Linked DNA regions of Tamandua tetradactyla. The protein of the gene in region 2 binds, or shares a complex with, the protein of the main gene of each other region. Links are inferred from orthologs where the notes say so. Each region holds a gene or a part of one and is shown on either strand. Other genes may lie near its edges.

Region 1 (7,940 bases), on a different chromosome or scaffold from region 2:
CCAAGCAATTGATGGGGTCTAAGGATTCTGTTACCTTAGAAAAGTGCGACTTAGAGAGGGCCTGGACTTTATTTGTATTCCATCTCTGTCACTGGCTAGCTGTGTGACCTTAGGAAAATGAACCTTTCCTGAGGTGTGGTTTCATTTTCGGTTAAAATAAGAAAACATAGGAATTGCTCTGAGTTATTGGGACGATTATAAAAGACATATGGGAAAGGTCCTTGCAGAAGCTTGTCTCTCAGCAAGTGCTTGCCATTCTGATTTTCCCAAGTATAGTGACCATATTTTGTGAAGCAAAAATAAAACAGATGGTGTAGAAAAGGTTTAATGTTTTTCCCCTGCATTGTAGATAATATTTATTTGTGAAGCTTTACAGAGCCCTACATTCAGTAGCTTTTAGCAATTTTTTTGAGGAAATGATGAAATCCTACAGAATCAGCATTGTATTGGAAAATCTGGGAGGTACTGTTAAAATTACTAAGAATTACCAATTTAACATAATTAGACTTGTGCTAAGCCCTCTTTTAAGTATCCTGGAGGAAAGACTGGCCATTAGTTGATATTTGCATTGAGTCTTGTAAGTTATATTTGAGTGATTTAGTTTAACCTGAGAAATGATGGTTTTTGAATTCTTATTCTTGTTTTAGCAAAGCTGATGAATTCAAACCTTAACAGAATAAGCAGTGAATATTGATATGAGATTTCCTCCTGAGTTTTATTGTTGTGTTCACTGAATTAGTTGACAAAGGGGGACAAAACCTGTTGGTCAAGTGTGTGCATGTTACCTTCTATCAAGTTTCTGCTGATCACAATTGCCTAACAGGAAGTTTGTCTTTGTAGGCAAATGAGGCAGACCAGGAAGACCTGGTAATCCAGTAGGATATCTCTAGCCTATAGTGTATTATTGTTCTTTAACAAAACTCAAAGATTGCAGAGTTCTGTGATGTCAGCAGGAAGTTTTTTAGGAAATTCCCTTTCAGGGTTAGTCAACAATGAAAACCTTAACAGAATGGAAAACTGTGAAGTAGTAACAGTGGACACTAACATGAAAAATTGAAAGAAAAGTTTTATTGTGAGATGTGCAAATGTAAGTGTAATGAATGTAGAGAACCATTTTCTAATAGCCTCCGATGCAGTTGAAAAAGAAAAATCAAGTGAGGGCTGTACTCTTAAGAAAAAGGAACTTGAGTATTTATTTATTTAGGGTTAAATTGAGATCATTTAACTGTCTTGGGAACCAGTAATAAAATATCTTTTGTTCTGTGAAATGACACTCCTAGTCGGATATCTATTAATTTTTGTGTGTCTCTAGCTTAAGGCCTACCACATATTAGCTATTCCATAAGTGTTTATTTGAAGTGAAGGTTGAAAATTAGAGCCACTAGTACAGGAAAAGGGCCTAAGGATTTAAGAGGTCCAGATGTGGGTCCATTAGTTAAGTTGTTGCATTTTATTATAACTTGTTTTGCATTTTGGCTGTAAGAGAAAGTTAGCCATTGAAAAGTAGAATATTGCTTTAGCAGTTAAGTAGTAGACACAGCTCACTTGCTACTTTTGGCAAAATTGGGTTTACTCTTAGGCGCCAGAGTAATAGCACTTAATGGGAAAATCTTGAGCACTCATTATTTGCTTGAGATTTTACTTACATGATTGCTGAAGTTGCGGGTGTTTAAATATTACCATCTAGTTGTTGTGGTAAGGTCAATCATCATAGGCTGGTATTTTAGTCACTTCAGTTGCTTTACCTACAACATGAAAAACCAGAGAGCATCTTTAGTCATTGCCTATGTATTACCAAATTTTGGAATTTAAAAATTACCCAGTTGGTTTCAGTTGTATTTTAGATTGTCATGGACACAATCTTTGTTGTTAAATACAAAGAGTACTTAAGTATCATTGCAGTGTGTTTCATTGTAACGTTAGTATTGTAGACCTTAGAATTGCATGGCTCTTTGTTAGTGAAGTACTTTAAGCCAGATGTACAAAGTTAGCTCTTTAAGAATGGCTGAACTTTTCAGTTGTGTTGTAGTTCAGCCAGGTTGAAATAGGTACTTCAGTAGGTATTTTTGTAGTTCTCCATTCCAATGTTGATTAACCTGGGACCTTTCAGAGAAAAGCTTGGTTTTTTTTTTTCTGACCCAGGAATCATGCGTGCCTTTTCTGACTTGATTCTTGAGTTTGGAGGTAGTAGTGATCTGTGAAAAGGGCTTTTTGGGCTCCTCTACCACCTCGTAGATGTGGGACTTTGAGCAAGCTATTTTTTGCCTTCTATTTTCTTTTGAGAATTAATAGGAGTAGTGGATGTAAAGGGCCTGGTTAATTAGTATTTTAGTAGTCTTCAGTAAAGGTAGACATTATTATAATTATTGCCGGGCATTTTGGCCGTAGTGTGTAATAGAGGAAGTAGCAAATTAATGTGTAAATAAGTTCACAGTCTTTTTATATAAAATTTTCCAATTTATATGTCTGTTGAATGCTTTTTTTCCTTTTCCTTACTGTTTAGAATTTTACGAATTATAAAATTTGGCATGGCAGAAAATGTGGATTTATTGTGGACTGTGTTTATGTATTTAAAGGTGTCTCCTAGTAAAATTAGTGTTTTTTATTATTTTCCCTGGTTTACCTAGTGACTGGCTATTGTAGGGGATTGGCCTTTATTGAATCTGAAGTTCTCTCGAGTATTATATCAGGTGTTTCAAGATGTCCTATATTTCATCTCAGGGGAGAGGATTTGGATAGTATGTAGAAGTGAAGTTTTGTATGTAGCAAACTAAAAGATTTCATTAAGTATTTCTTGTTAGGTGTTTATTTAAATAGCATAAATATCTCTTTTGGTAGACTTTTGAGTACTCCCATATTAATTTTGGCTGACAAACTATTTTTGAAATAGTGGAGGAGTTTTCTTAGGAAATGGAAAAGGAAGTTCATTGTAGGTAAATGGTCTGGGACAGTTTATATGGATGGTAGGGTAAGTTTTTAGCTTCTCTCATTTGGAAATTGCATGTTATTTATTATGAGTAAATGTTAATATTAGGGATGTTTCATTCTTTGCTGTGCAGGTTTTCCTGTCCTCTCAACATAGAGGTGAGGAATATGAACACAGAACTTTTATGCCAAGTGGTTGACTCAGGGATTGTAACTTCTTTTCTGTGCCTCAGATCCACCATTCCTCAGACCCTTCCATTTCTTGGTGGCTGTCCTTTGCCGCTGGTGCCATGGTGGGTGTATGGATTGCTTTCTGTCTTTCAACAGTTGCCGAAGTGCATGTTTGGGATTTTGTTGAAGAAAGCTGGATACAGTAAACGGAAAGAATCTTGGAAGATGCTTGACTGCTGTCTTTTCTCAGACTAGTCTGAAAGGGAATACACCCATTCATTCTGGATTGGTGGATCTGAAGTACAAAATATTTTCCAGGTAAGCATTTACCCTGTACCGTAATGCTTGTGGAACTTAGCTCACTGAGAAGAAACTTAAAAGTTCTTTTCTTTTCCGTTAATAGGGAAAGGAAAAAATCTTAGATATTTGTGCCTAGTGTTCATGTTTGGGTGTGGAGTTGTGAAGGTGTACGTGGCAGATTTGCTGGTACACACTTTGTTTCAGTGTAGGAGTAAAGTTATTTTTTATAGTAGGCTCAAATGGTTTATAGACATAGTCTAATAGGGGATACAGTAAAATGGATATTTTATTTGGGAAATATCTTATAAAATATGGAAAACATCTTGTAATTTTGAGGCACTATCGCACATTATTTATAGTTGATATCTGGCCAAAATTTATAGTTGCTATCTGATCAAGACTACTAGCATATAGAGTAGTAGGCTTTTATTCTTAGGACTCTTAGAGGGTCTTTTCAGAAAGATTTACTGATGGTATGTCGCACCCATTTATTGAACATCTGCTATGTGCTAGACACTGTTGTAGGCCCTTTACATGTATTTCATATTTAATTGGCAAAATGCTTTACCTGCATTTTAGAGATGAGTGAAATGAATCTCATAAGCGTTAAGTTGCCCAGGGCCGTACATTTGAGTAAAGTTTTAAGCTTGGGTCTGTGTTTTCCTAATGCTCCATACTTTCCATTTTACTACCTATGCTGAAGTTTGTATTTGATCTTCTGGATTTTCAAATTGCCAATCTGCAAGAGCAATATGCAGTTACCTAAAATAGTTTCCACTTGAAGAACACATGCTAGGCCATTGTTTGGCATGGGGTTGACATGGTATAATGTCTGGTGCTCTGCTTAAAATGAAAAATCAGAAGATCTTCAGTCAGTTCATCAAGTGAACATGGAGGTAACTTTGGGAGCACAGGGGAGGTAATGCGTTTGGGTGTCAGTACATGGGAAGTATAATTTGGTGTAGTGAACTTGAACTTGTGTCTTTCAGTTCCTCCTTTGTATTTATTGGTTATTTTAATAGCATAGTAGCTCATTTTGTAGACTTCTTTTGACTTGTGGTTTGCTAGCCTTACTGGTAAGACTTCCTGGCAACTCTTCCTTGAAAACATGACTTTTCCTTGCTATTTAATAATCTTTCCATTTCACCCCCTTCCTTTAATCTTAATTATTTTTTACTTCTTAAATTTTATATCATAGACTAACATTCTGACTTTGTATCCTTGCTTTAACTTAATTCCTTAATATTTGCTAATATTTCTCCTAGTTGAGCATTTTTCATCTGGAGTACTGTCAAAGTGGTGGTAGTGGCAATAGTAGTAGTAGTAGTAGTAGTAGTAGTAAACGATTAAACACCTAATACTTATTGGGCACTTAATCTACCGAATACTATTCTAGGCATTTTATAGGTATAAACTGATTTTATCCTTATAGTAACATGGTGTGATAGGTACTGTTTTTTTCCCACTTTATAGATGAGGAAACTGAAAGATAGATTAGTGAAATAATATGCTTCACGGTCACATATCTAGTAACGGACAATGACGAAATATGAACCAGGCAATCTGGATTCACAGAATGTACTTCTACCCTCTGTGCTATACTGCCTCTAGTTTAGAGTATCATCCAGTAATAGAGGGGCAGAAATTCTGAAGACTTACTATATATTTGGATTTCAAGAAATCAAGGGAAAGGGAATAATTGTTGAATATTTATTTCTTACTTTATTTAGAAAACAAATAGTCTACTTCTCAGGGAGCCATCCAGGGCTATCTATCAGATTGTTTCCCAAGAGGACTCACAGGACTTGTTTAAGGTTATCTTCCAAAACAGTGCTGTCCAATAGAGCTTTCTGTGATGATAGAAATGTGCAGAATTTGCTCTGTTCAATTTGGTAGCCACTAGCCATAGTTACCTACTTTGAAATGTGGCTCCAGGACTGAGGAGTTGAATTTTTAATTTTACTTAATTTAAATAGTCACATGTGATTAGTGGCTAACATATTATAGAGTGCAGTTTTAGAATGTACCATTATCCAAGGTCTGGCCTTGGTTTAGCCCCTTTTGAAATCTGATTTGGTCACTATGGTAAAAGCAGCTCCTTATCTCCCAGGGTTGGACTCACAGTAACTATGCTTACAAGGCTTATATGTAAAACCATAGTGCCAGTTTGTTAATTTGCAGTGATTTATGCCCTGTTGGTATGATTAGTATATTGTTAGCTGATAGGCATATTTGCTTACTAGGTCCTAATTTAAATGCCAGTTTATTAGTATTATTTTTAAAATAAGAAATAGGAGTCAGAGGGGCCTGAATAGTAAAGCCAAATGAATGGACACTTTCTTCGTGTAGGTAGACTTTACCCATCGGGTCAGATTATAAACAGGTGGCTTGGTTAGCATGGACTCAACCAGAAAAGTGAGATATGTGATGGACTGAGACTGAGATCCAAATGGGTGGTTTTTCCCTATGGCAAGACCTCTTCCTTCAGCTTCTCTGCTTGCTTTTGTTTTCCAAATCCCTTTTAGATTAAGGCATTCTTTTTTAAGATGCTTCAGTACAGTGAGCTAGAATGCAGTCTTGACTTGAAGGTCTGGGTGTTCTTTTGATTTCCTCAAGGTGCCTTTATCAGTCCTGTGATCTATTATGTTTTTATTTTCAACTTTAAGAAGGCAGTAGTATTTTTCTTGCTTCCTTGTAGCCTTTTTCTACTGAAAACACATGCATTAGAATCTTTAATTTGGTCACACATATTATCTGCATTTTATCATGTTATTAAAAGGAACTTGTTTTTAGTTTACATTACTTTGGGACTTGTTCTTGCTCCTGTTCTCTCCCCCCCATTTATTTATTTATTTATTTATGTTTTAAATGTTTTTTTGTTGTATTGTATAACATATACAAAGCAAAGAAATAAAAGAGCAATAGTTTTCAAAGCACTCTTTAAAACGTGATTACAGGATAGATCCCAGAGTTTGTCATGGGCTACCATACGGTCCTCTCATATTTTTCCTTCTAGCTGCTGCGGAATATAGGAGGCTAGAGGGTTTAAATACTTTTTTTTTTGTCATCACAATTGACTTTTTTTCCTTCTTTTTTTGTGACCAATAACATATATGCAAAAAAGCTATAAATTTCAAAGCACAGCACCCCAATTAGCTGTAGAATATATTTCAGACTTTGACATGGGTTACAATTTCACAATTTTAGGTTTTTACTTCTAGTTGCTCTAAAATACTGGAGATAAAAGAGATATCAATTTGATGATTCAACATTCATATTCATTTAAGTCCTATCTTCTATGTATAATTCCACCATCACCTTTGATCTTTCCATACCTCTCATTGTGGTTGTTTGGGTTATGGCAATTCTAAATTTTTGATATTGATAGGGTCTGCCACGAATATGGGGTAGGAAGATGAAACTATCTGATGTTCTGGAGAGGCTGGGCTAGGTTTCAGGACTTACCTGGACTAGGGACCCATCTGGAGGTTATAGGTTTCTGTCAGGTTTCTCTAGTGCCTGGAACCCTTGAGGAATCTTATATATTGCCCTAGGTGTTCTTTAGGATTGGCAGGTTATGATAGATAATAAGGTCTACCGGAAGCTTGTGTAAGAGCAACCTCCCAGAGTAGCCTCTCGACTATTTGAGAGAGGCTGTATTTGAACTCTCTCTGCCACTGATACTTTATTAATTACACTTCATTTCCCCCATTTGGTCAGGATGGAATTGTTGATCCCACAGTGCCAGGTCTGGATTCATCCCTGGGAGTCCTCTCCCATGTCACCAGGGAGACTTTCACCCCTGGATGTCATGTCCCATGTAGGGGGGAGGGCAGTGATTTCACTTGCAGAGTTGGGCTTTGCTCCTGTTCTTGATATAGAAAGAGTGACATAAGCAAATCCGTAGTTTAGGAAGGTAGCTTTGGTGGATGTGTACAGTATGAATTGAAGTGATGGAAGGCAGAAAGACCAGTTAGTTCAAGCGAGCAGTGATGAAGATGCACCAAGATATTGACAGTAGGGATGCTGGGAGGGGATGTGTGTGGGGGTGGGTTTAAAAGAGATATAGGTGGTAGTATTTATGAGTTTAGGGATTGGTTAGAGGAGTGGGAGAGGGAAGAATCTAAGAATTTTAGGTTTTGGCTATGGACACTTGGATGGATGTTTGTTCTCTTTTCCCAGTCTTAGTTTCCTAGCTGCTAAAAACAAATATCGTATAATGGTTTGATTTAAATAATGGGAATTTATTGCCTCAGGGTTTTAAGGCTAGGAGAAGTCCAGAATCTAGTTATCAAGAAGGTGATGCTTTCTTTGAACCTATACTCTGGCTTCCTATTAATGTTTTCTTTTTAACCATTTACTTATTTATTTATTTTTACATGGGCAGGCACTGGGAATCAAACCCAGGTCCTCGGGCTTAGCAGGCAAGCATTCTTACCTGCTGAGCCACCGTGGCCCACCCGAAGGTGATGCTTTCTTGCTAAGGACTATGGTGTTCTGGAGCTGGCTACTGACGACGATCCTTGGGTCCTTGCCTTTCCCAT
Region 2 (7,333 bases):
TTCCTCACTTTCTTGACATATCCATAAGTTTTTCACATACAAACTGCTGTGTCAGATTTTTCAGCTGTCTACCAACCCGTATCATATTGTCTCTGTGTGGTCCTACCAAAACTGTCCATTCAGACCCCTTTGTTTGCCTTTGCAAACGTCCGAAATTGTCAAGTCTCAGCTTCCAAAAGTCCTAGTTCCATTTACAGGACATATATGTGATGACTCTTTAATGGAAATTTTGATAATAAGGTCTAGATTGTATGTAGGTATGAAGGGAATTTTTAAAATACAACAAAAATTAAGCTACAAACAGCATTAGAACTTTGTCTATTTTTAAATTTTAAAATATGCTGATATGCCTTAAACTAGCTATAGATCATTGTCATTTTGCTGTTTGAAAATAGCCGATATGTTTTCTAAAACTTGTGTAATCTACTTTCAATGTTAATGCAGAATTATCATATATGTAAGCTGCATGTTAGACCACTTGTTTTTTTTAAGAAAACTAAAATAATTGTATTGATGTGAGGCATATCACTTTTTCAAGTATGAAAGTAATCACTCAGCAACCATGCTTGGCAATTTGGTGTCTGTTAAGATAGGAGAGTAATGGACAGGTAATCTATGCATATATCAACAGTGCCAAGACATCAAGAGGGGGGAATATATTTTTACCCAAACATTAAAACAAAAAAACAAGAGTCCCTGGGGGTCAATATATCCTAAAGTAATTCTGGCAGAGAATAAAAAGAAAATTTTGCAAACTCCTCTTGGGGGACTGGGGAGAAAGGAGAAAATATTATACTTTCCCATCTGGGGAATTCCTGATATTCTCACAAGCAGTGGGGACAACCAATTCAACAGGCTGAGCCCTCAATCTTGGGGCTTGGCCCTATGAAGCATATTCCTGCAAAGGACAAGCTAAGCCTACTGAGAATTATGCTGAAAAATCATCCCAAGAGAGCCTCTATTGTTGCTCTGATGTGGCCTCTCTCTCTCTAAGTCAACTTGGCAGATGAACCCACTATCCTGCCCTCTACGTGACTCCCAGGGGTGTAAATCTCCCTGGCAAAGTGGGACAGAGCTCCCAGGATGAGCTGGGACCTGGCTTCATGGGACTGAGAAAGCCTTGTTGACCAAAACAGGGAAGAGAGAACTGAGACAAAGTTTCCACGGCTAAGCAATTTCAAACAGAGTTGAGAGGTTATCCTGGAGGTTATTCTTATGAGTTATATAGACATCCCTTTTTAGTTTATGGTGCATTGGAGTAGCTAGAGGGAAGTACCTGAAAGTGTTGAATTGTGTTCCGGTAGTCTTGATTTTTTTTTCCAATTTATTTACATATTGATGTAATGGTATACAGCAGAGTTGAATAGTTGTGATAGAGAATACACAGCCCACGAAGCCTAAATTATTTACTATCTAGACTTTACAGAAAAAAATTGCTGACCCATTATAGAGTTCTCTTCATAACCCTATATGAGGATTTCACTATGACATATTTACAGAAGCTGAATTGCTGACTTATAAGGTGAGAGAATTTGCAACTTTTCCCCTATGTAGCCCAATTGGCCTCCAGTTGATTATTCCAATTGACACTACCACAAGCAATGTATGAGAATTATTGTCGATTTACTCACTAACACTTGATATTATCATACTCTTAAATTTTTGCCAATCTGCTTGGTGTGAAATGGCATCTTTTTTGAAATATTTTTATTGAGAAATTTTCACACGCATACATTCCATATATGGTGTACAATCAATGGCTCACAATATCATCACATAGTTTTGTACTCATCACCATAATCATTTTTTAGAACATTTGCATCACTCTAGAAAAAGAAAAATAAAGTCATCATACCATACCCCTTACCCCTCCTTCTCATTGACCACTAGTATCTCCAACTACCCAATTTATTGTACCCTTTGTACCCTCTATTATTTATTTTTATCCATATTTTTTTTTACTCATCTGCCCATACCCTGGATAAAAGGAGCATCACACACAAGGTTTTTGCAATCACAGAGTCCCATTGTAAAAGTTATATCTTTATACAGTCATCTTCAAGAATCAAGGCTACTGGAATACAGCTCAAGTTTCAAGTACTTCCCTCCAGCCACTCCAATACACCACAAACTAAGAAAGGGTTATCTATATAATGCATAAGAATAGCCGCCAGGATAACCTCTTGGCTCTGTTTGAAATCTCTCAGCATCTGAAGCACTTCCCAAAATATAAATTTTGCACTAAATAAACATCTCTCCCTTTAGTCTCACACAGAAGTTGAAGTTTTAACATATGGCTGATATCATCCTTTACCCTGTATTCTGAGTTACCTTAGTCCTAACAAGATCAGCTCAAAGTCTGGTCACTTTTTCAACTTTTTAAACAGTTCTTGCGTGGGGTACTGCAAGTAGCCTTGATTCCTGAAGACGATTGTATAACCATATAGCCTTTACCATGTGACCATGTGATTGTGAAAAACTTGTATTTGATGCTCCTTTTATCTAGGGTATGGACAGATGAGTTAAAAAAAGGATAATAAATAATAGGGGGGGATAGAGGGTAAAAAATGGGTGGATTGAAATACTGGAGATCAGTGAGAGGGAGGGGTAAGAGGTATGGAATGTATGAATTCTTTTTTTTTTTCCTTCTTTATTTCTTTTTCTGGAGTGGCGTAAATGTTCTAAAAATGATCATGGTGAAGAATACACAACTATGTGATGATATTGTGAGCCACTGATTGTATAATATAATTGGACTGTACGTGTGGATATTTCTCAATAAAAATATTTTTTAAATAAAAATTAAATTACATTTTTAAAAAAGAGTGCCTGGGGGGATTGTATTAGATTAGTGAGCACGAAGGCTGCTCAGAGGTGACACTGAAGCTGATATCCTAAGGACAAGGAGCCAGCCATGGGACAGTTTGGAGACAATTTTCCAAACAGAAGTGTAAGGGCAAGGGGCAGTGTGTTCATTTGCAAGCTGCCAGAATGCAATATGCCAGAACTGGAATGACTTTTAAAAAGGGGAATTTAATGCGTTGCAAGTTTAAGAAAGTGAAAGTATCCAAATTCAGGCAACAACAAGAGGTTACCCTCACTCAAGAAAGGCCAATGAGTCAGGAACAGCTCTGTCAGCTGGGAAGTCACATGGCTGGCATCTGCTGGTCCCTTGCTCCTGAGCTCCTGTTGCTTTCAGCCTCTGTTCCTGTGGGGTTTCCTCACTTTGCTTCTCTGGGGCTGGCTTTCATCTCTTGGCTTCCCTTGGCTCTCTCCAGGTTCTGGCTTGCTTCACATCTCATGGTGATGTCTGCTGGACTCCAAGCATCTCCTAACATCTATATGTCTGCCCACCACGTTTCTGCATCTGTGTCACCTCTGCTGGCAAATTTCTGTTGGCTCTGAGGCTTCCATCTTTCTTGCTCTCTCTCTCTCCAAAATGTTTCCTCTTTTAAAGGATTCCAGTAAACTAATCTAGACAGAACTGGAACAGATGGAGTCACATTTCCCTCTATTCAAAAGTCATCCCCAGAACTGGATGTGTCCCATCTCTGTGGAGATAATCTAATCCAATATTACCAACTACAGTTTTGAATCAGGATTAAAAGAAACTGCTGCTCCCACAAGACTGAATCAGGAATAAAATATGGCTTTTCTGGGGTACATAATATTTTCAATCCGGCACGGGCAGGAACAGGTCAACCTCCGTCAGGGTCAGAGCAAGGGCCCAGGAGGCTGCGGAGACTTTAGGAGTAGGCAAGTAGGGAAAGAGGCTGGAGAAGGAGCTGGGAGTCACATCACCTTGGACTTTTATAAGCCCCATCAAAGGGTTTGGATTTGATTCCTAGGGCAATGGGAAATCGTTTTAGGGTTTTAAGCAGGGATATGACAGGATGTGATTCACATTAAAAAGTAAAACCTCATTCTACTGTGCGGAGAATAGGAGGTAGGACCAACAAGGGAAGAGATGGCGACTGGCACTGGCATCTCTCAGTGGGGAGGAGACGAGTGGGCTGATTGCAGATCTATTTTTTAGAGAGATCCAACGGGATATGCCAATACAGCTTGGCTGCAGGTCCTTCGTTTTGATCGCAAGGAGGAAAACAGAAAACTACCACTTACAATCACCATTGGAAAGTTCTTGTCAGTCTAAGTATTCTGTCACTCTGTCATAGAAGCTAACTGTAAAAAAAATTGGGAGGCCAAAAATCACGAAAAGCAAACTAAAATCACCCATAAATCCCATCAGGCTGCGAAAATGGCTGTTCACACTTTGCTGTAGTTTTCCAGGTTTCTACGCGGATATATGGTCATTTGCTACACTGGGATTATATTGATGCTTGCTCTGCCTTCCGCTTTTGACTTCGGGGTATCAGCCAGATGCCCGCGACCACCACTTCAGCTCAGGCCCCTGGGCAGGCCTCACGTCCCCGCGGCCCTCTCGACCACCCATCTCGTCGGTTCGCTGGCCCCCTTTAAGGCCCCCTGTGGTGTCCCCACATACTTCGGCGACGGGGACGGGATGCACGACGTCAACCTCTGGGGGGGACCCACCGGACAGCCCCCCACACATCGCGCCATCCGCGCCACGCAAAGCCCCGCAGGGCAGCCGCACCCGGGCTGAGAGCGCGGCCCGACCCCGGCCCGGCGCCGGGCAGGAGCCTGTCTGCGCAGGCGCCCAGAGATGATGTCACGGGGCAGGGGGCGGGGCCTGGCGCTGGAGCCGCAGCATGAGGCGCAGGGGGAGGGGGAGAGGGAGGGGGAGGCGGCGGCGGCGGCGGGCGACCATGCAGGCGGAAGACGCAGGCGCAAGTGGCCCCGGGGGCCGCGAGGGCGCGGGCTCCTCGGGGGGCCGCCCGGTCGGTGACGCGTCTCGGGTCGCGCGGACACCGCACGCCCCAGGGCCGGGTGGAGACGCCACGCCCGCGGTCACCGGGCCGGGAAGCCCAGTACACCGATTGTATCCTAGCCGACGGGGCGGGCCTGGGATGGGGATGGGGCGTGAGCGGCAGGGACGGCACGGGGTCCTGGGGGGTGGGTGACGGGGGGAAGGACAGGGGGGCGGGAGGCGGGGAGAAGGGAAGGAGAGCAGGGGTTTAACGCGGGAGGCGACGGAAAGGGGAGCCTGGGGTAGGGGGGGAGGACGGCGAAACGGGGGGGAGGGATCGAAAAGGGGAGCCGCTTGGGTCGGTGGACGCCGGGGGAGTTGGGGCCCCAGGGGAGGAGGGGAAGGCCTGAGGCGGGTGGGGGCGGGAGAAGCAGGCTCAATCGGGGTGAACTAATGGGGTGACCGGGCCGGGCGCCAGTTCTGGCCTTGAGCGGCAGGAGGCGAGGCGCAGGCTAAGTCAGTGGAGGATGGTGCCTTAACCGGATCCCCTGCCAGCTCCCTCAGTGTCCCTTTCCCGTCCCGCAGGGAGGCGGAGATCGCCTGCGGCTCCCTGGCCCCGGATGCCGAACCCCACCGGGAGGCGATTGAGAAGCAGCTCACTGTGGCTGGCAGCGCCCTGGCCGTGTCAGTTCTAGAAGGGGCGCGGGTGGGAGCTGCTCCTTAGGGCCAGTCCCTGCCTTGGGGTGCTGTAATGGGGTCAGAGAGATCCCCTCAGGGGAAGTCTGAGGAAGGGGGCGTGGCGCAGTGGGCCTGTCCCCACCTGAGGGGGTGCTCTGATGGAGCCACTAAATGGTCAGGTGGCAGGGGGTCTGAGGGTGCCGGGTGGAAGGTGAAGTTGCCACCTTGAACTGGACTTGCCTTTTCCATCCCTCACAGCCAGTGGACTGCCGGTGACCCCCGCCTCCTCCGAATTTCCATCCTGAACTTTCTGGACCAGCTTTCCCTGGTGGTGCGGACAATGCAGCGCTTCGGGCCCCCCGTTTCACGCTAGGCCTGGGGCCTGACCTGGTGTCCCCTCCTGGGCAGTATGCCCTTCCCCCCGGGGCCTTGATTCCTAGAGTAGTTGCCACTTTACCATAAGGGCCTGATTTGGGGGGCATACTGGCCCTAGGATGCTGGGGTCCCACTTGGTTTATTTGGTGCTTAAATGTTTTCACCAACAGAAAATAAAAACAAGCTACTCTTTCCTGTCACAACAGTATTTTTTTTCAGCTGCTGAACCTGCAGATTTTCATGCCTTTGGTCTGGGATTGCAACGAGGGAAGGGTCTGCGATGCAGATATTCAAGTATAATTTTTGGCCAAGTCTAGTGTTAAATTTATTTTCCTGATTTTTTTTTTTTCATTTAACGTGAACTTTTCTGCTTCCTAAAAATCCTGCGAAAACCTGTTCTGTGTATCAAAGAAGTATTTTAATGAAATTGTTGCCCACTTAAATCATTTCCAATTTTCCCTATGATATGTAACGATTCAGTAGGATGCTTATATATGAGTTTTTGCATGAATAGTTATTTCCTTACGATAGATTAAAAAAAAAAAAAACCCAGGAGGTAGAATTACTGAGTTAAATATTTTCTATTTATGGTACAAAATTGTTGTCAAGAAATTGTGCCCTTCTGGTTTCTCCACATCCTTTGTCACCAGAAGTCTGCTTAATGCCAAAATAAAATACTTAGTTCGTATGAGAAGAGCAAACAGCCCAGAAACACTAAATTAGGATTTTTTTGTGGCTTACTGGCCTTGCTTCAGATCAGTGAAGAAAAGTGTTAGGACAATTCCTTAAGGGTTGGGGGAAGGAGCTCAGATCCCTCTAAAATACCTGCATTCTACAACCTTGCTAAATACACTTAATAATTTTAGTGGCTCTTTTGTAGATTTCATAGGATTTTCTACATAAGCAATCACATTTTCCTTCAATAAAGGCATTTTTACTCCCTTTCCAATCCAGATGTCTTTTGTTGATTGATGTCTTTCCTCATTGAGGCTTGGCGTTTCCTGCTTCTTTGCATGCCTAGTAATTTTGGATTGGATGCCAAACATCATGTATTTTACCTTGGGTGCTGGATATTTTTGCATTTCTAAACGTATTCCATGAACTTTTTTCTGGGATGCCAAGGTGCTTGGAAAAAGTTTTAACCTTTCCATTCCTGCTTGTAGATTTGCTCGGTGGTACGAGAGCTGCTTTTAGGGAAAGTGATGGTGAAAATGATGATGAATCTCACCTGAGTGTGGCAGGTGTAGTTGCTACAGTGAGGATATGATTCTCTCCTTCTCTCTCTCCACCTCTTCCTTTTTTAATTCATCATTTTTAGATATTAGCCATTGATGGACAGATGCCGATTAAGCTTTTTGACTCCACCATCTGCTCTGCTTCCTCTCAATGTGGTTGTGGTTCTATTACATTCTATCCATTTCTTAGGATTTCTTTTTTCCCTAAGATTAAAAA

The links. The genes of interacting proteins can lie anywhere in the genome.
Region 1: the proteins of LAGE3 (region 2) and GON7 are in contact, whole or in part, in a crystal structure (PDB 6GWJ), measured with the Homo sapiens proteins. The link is inferred for Tamandua tetradactyla from reciprocal best matches to the Homo sapiens genes LAGE3 and GON7. Residues at the interface, in NP_006005.2 of Homo sapiens: Pro60, His61, Ile62, Phe63, Thr64, Leu65, Ser66, Val67, Pro68, Phe69, Pro70, Glu74, Arg102, Ile103, Glu111, Cys113, Leu116, Arg117, Val120, Ile121, Leu124, Asp125, Leu127, Ser128, Val131, Arg132, Met134, Gln135; in NP_115879.2 of Homo sapiens: Met1, Glu2, Leu3, Leu4, Gly5, Glu6, Tyr7, Val8, Gly9, Gln10, Leu17, Asp28, Pro29, Phe30, Gln31, Leu33, Leu34, Val37, Met40, Lys41, Val44, Thr45, Leu47, Phe48, Asp49.

The regions. Positions count from the first base shown.
Region 1 is NC_135346.1:53,342,501-53,350,440, reverse strand, and holds the start of GON7 (EKC/KEOPS complex subunit GON7), read left to right. Parts: upstream 1-4,935; coding exon 4,936-4,954; intron 4,955-7,940. UniProt on the Homo sapiens protein: Component of the EKC/KEOPS complex that is required for the formation of a threonylcarbamoyl group on adenosine at position 37 (t(6)A37) in tRNAs that read codons beginning with adenine.
Region 2 is NC_135353.1:6,783,745-6,791,077, reverse strand, and holds LAGE3 (EKC/KEOPS complex subunit LAGE3), read left to right. Parts: upstream 1-4,787; coding exon 4,788-4,960; intron 4,961-5,383; coding exon 5,384-5,512; intron 5,513-5,764; coding exon 5,765-5,879; 3' UTR 5,880-6,830; downstream 6,831-7,333. UniProt on the Homo sapiens protein: Component of the EKC/KEOPS complex that is required for the formation of a threonylcarbamoyl group on adenosine at position 37 (t(6)A37) in tRNAs that read codons beginning with adenine.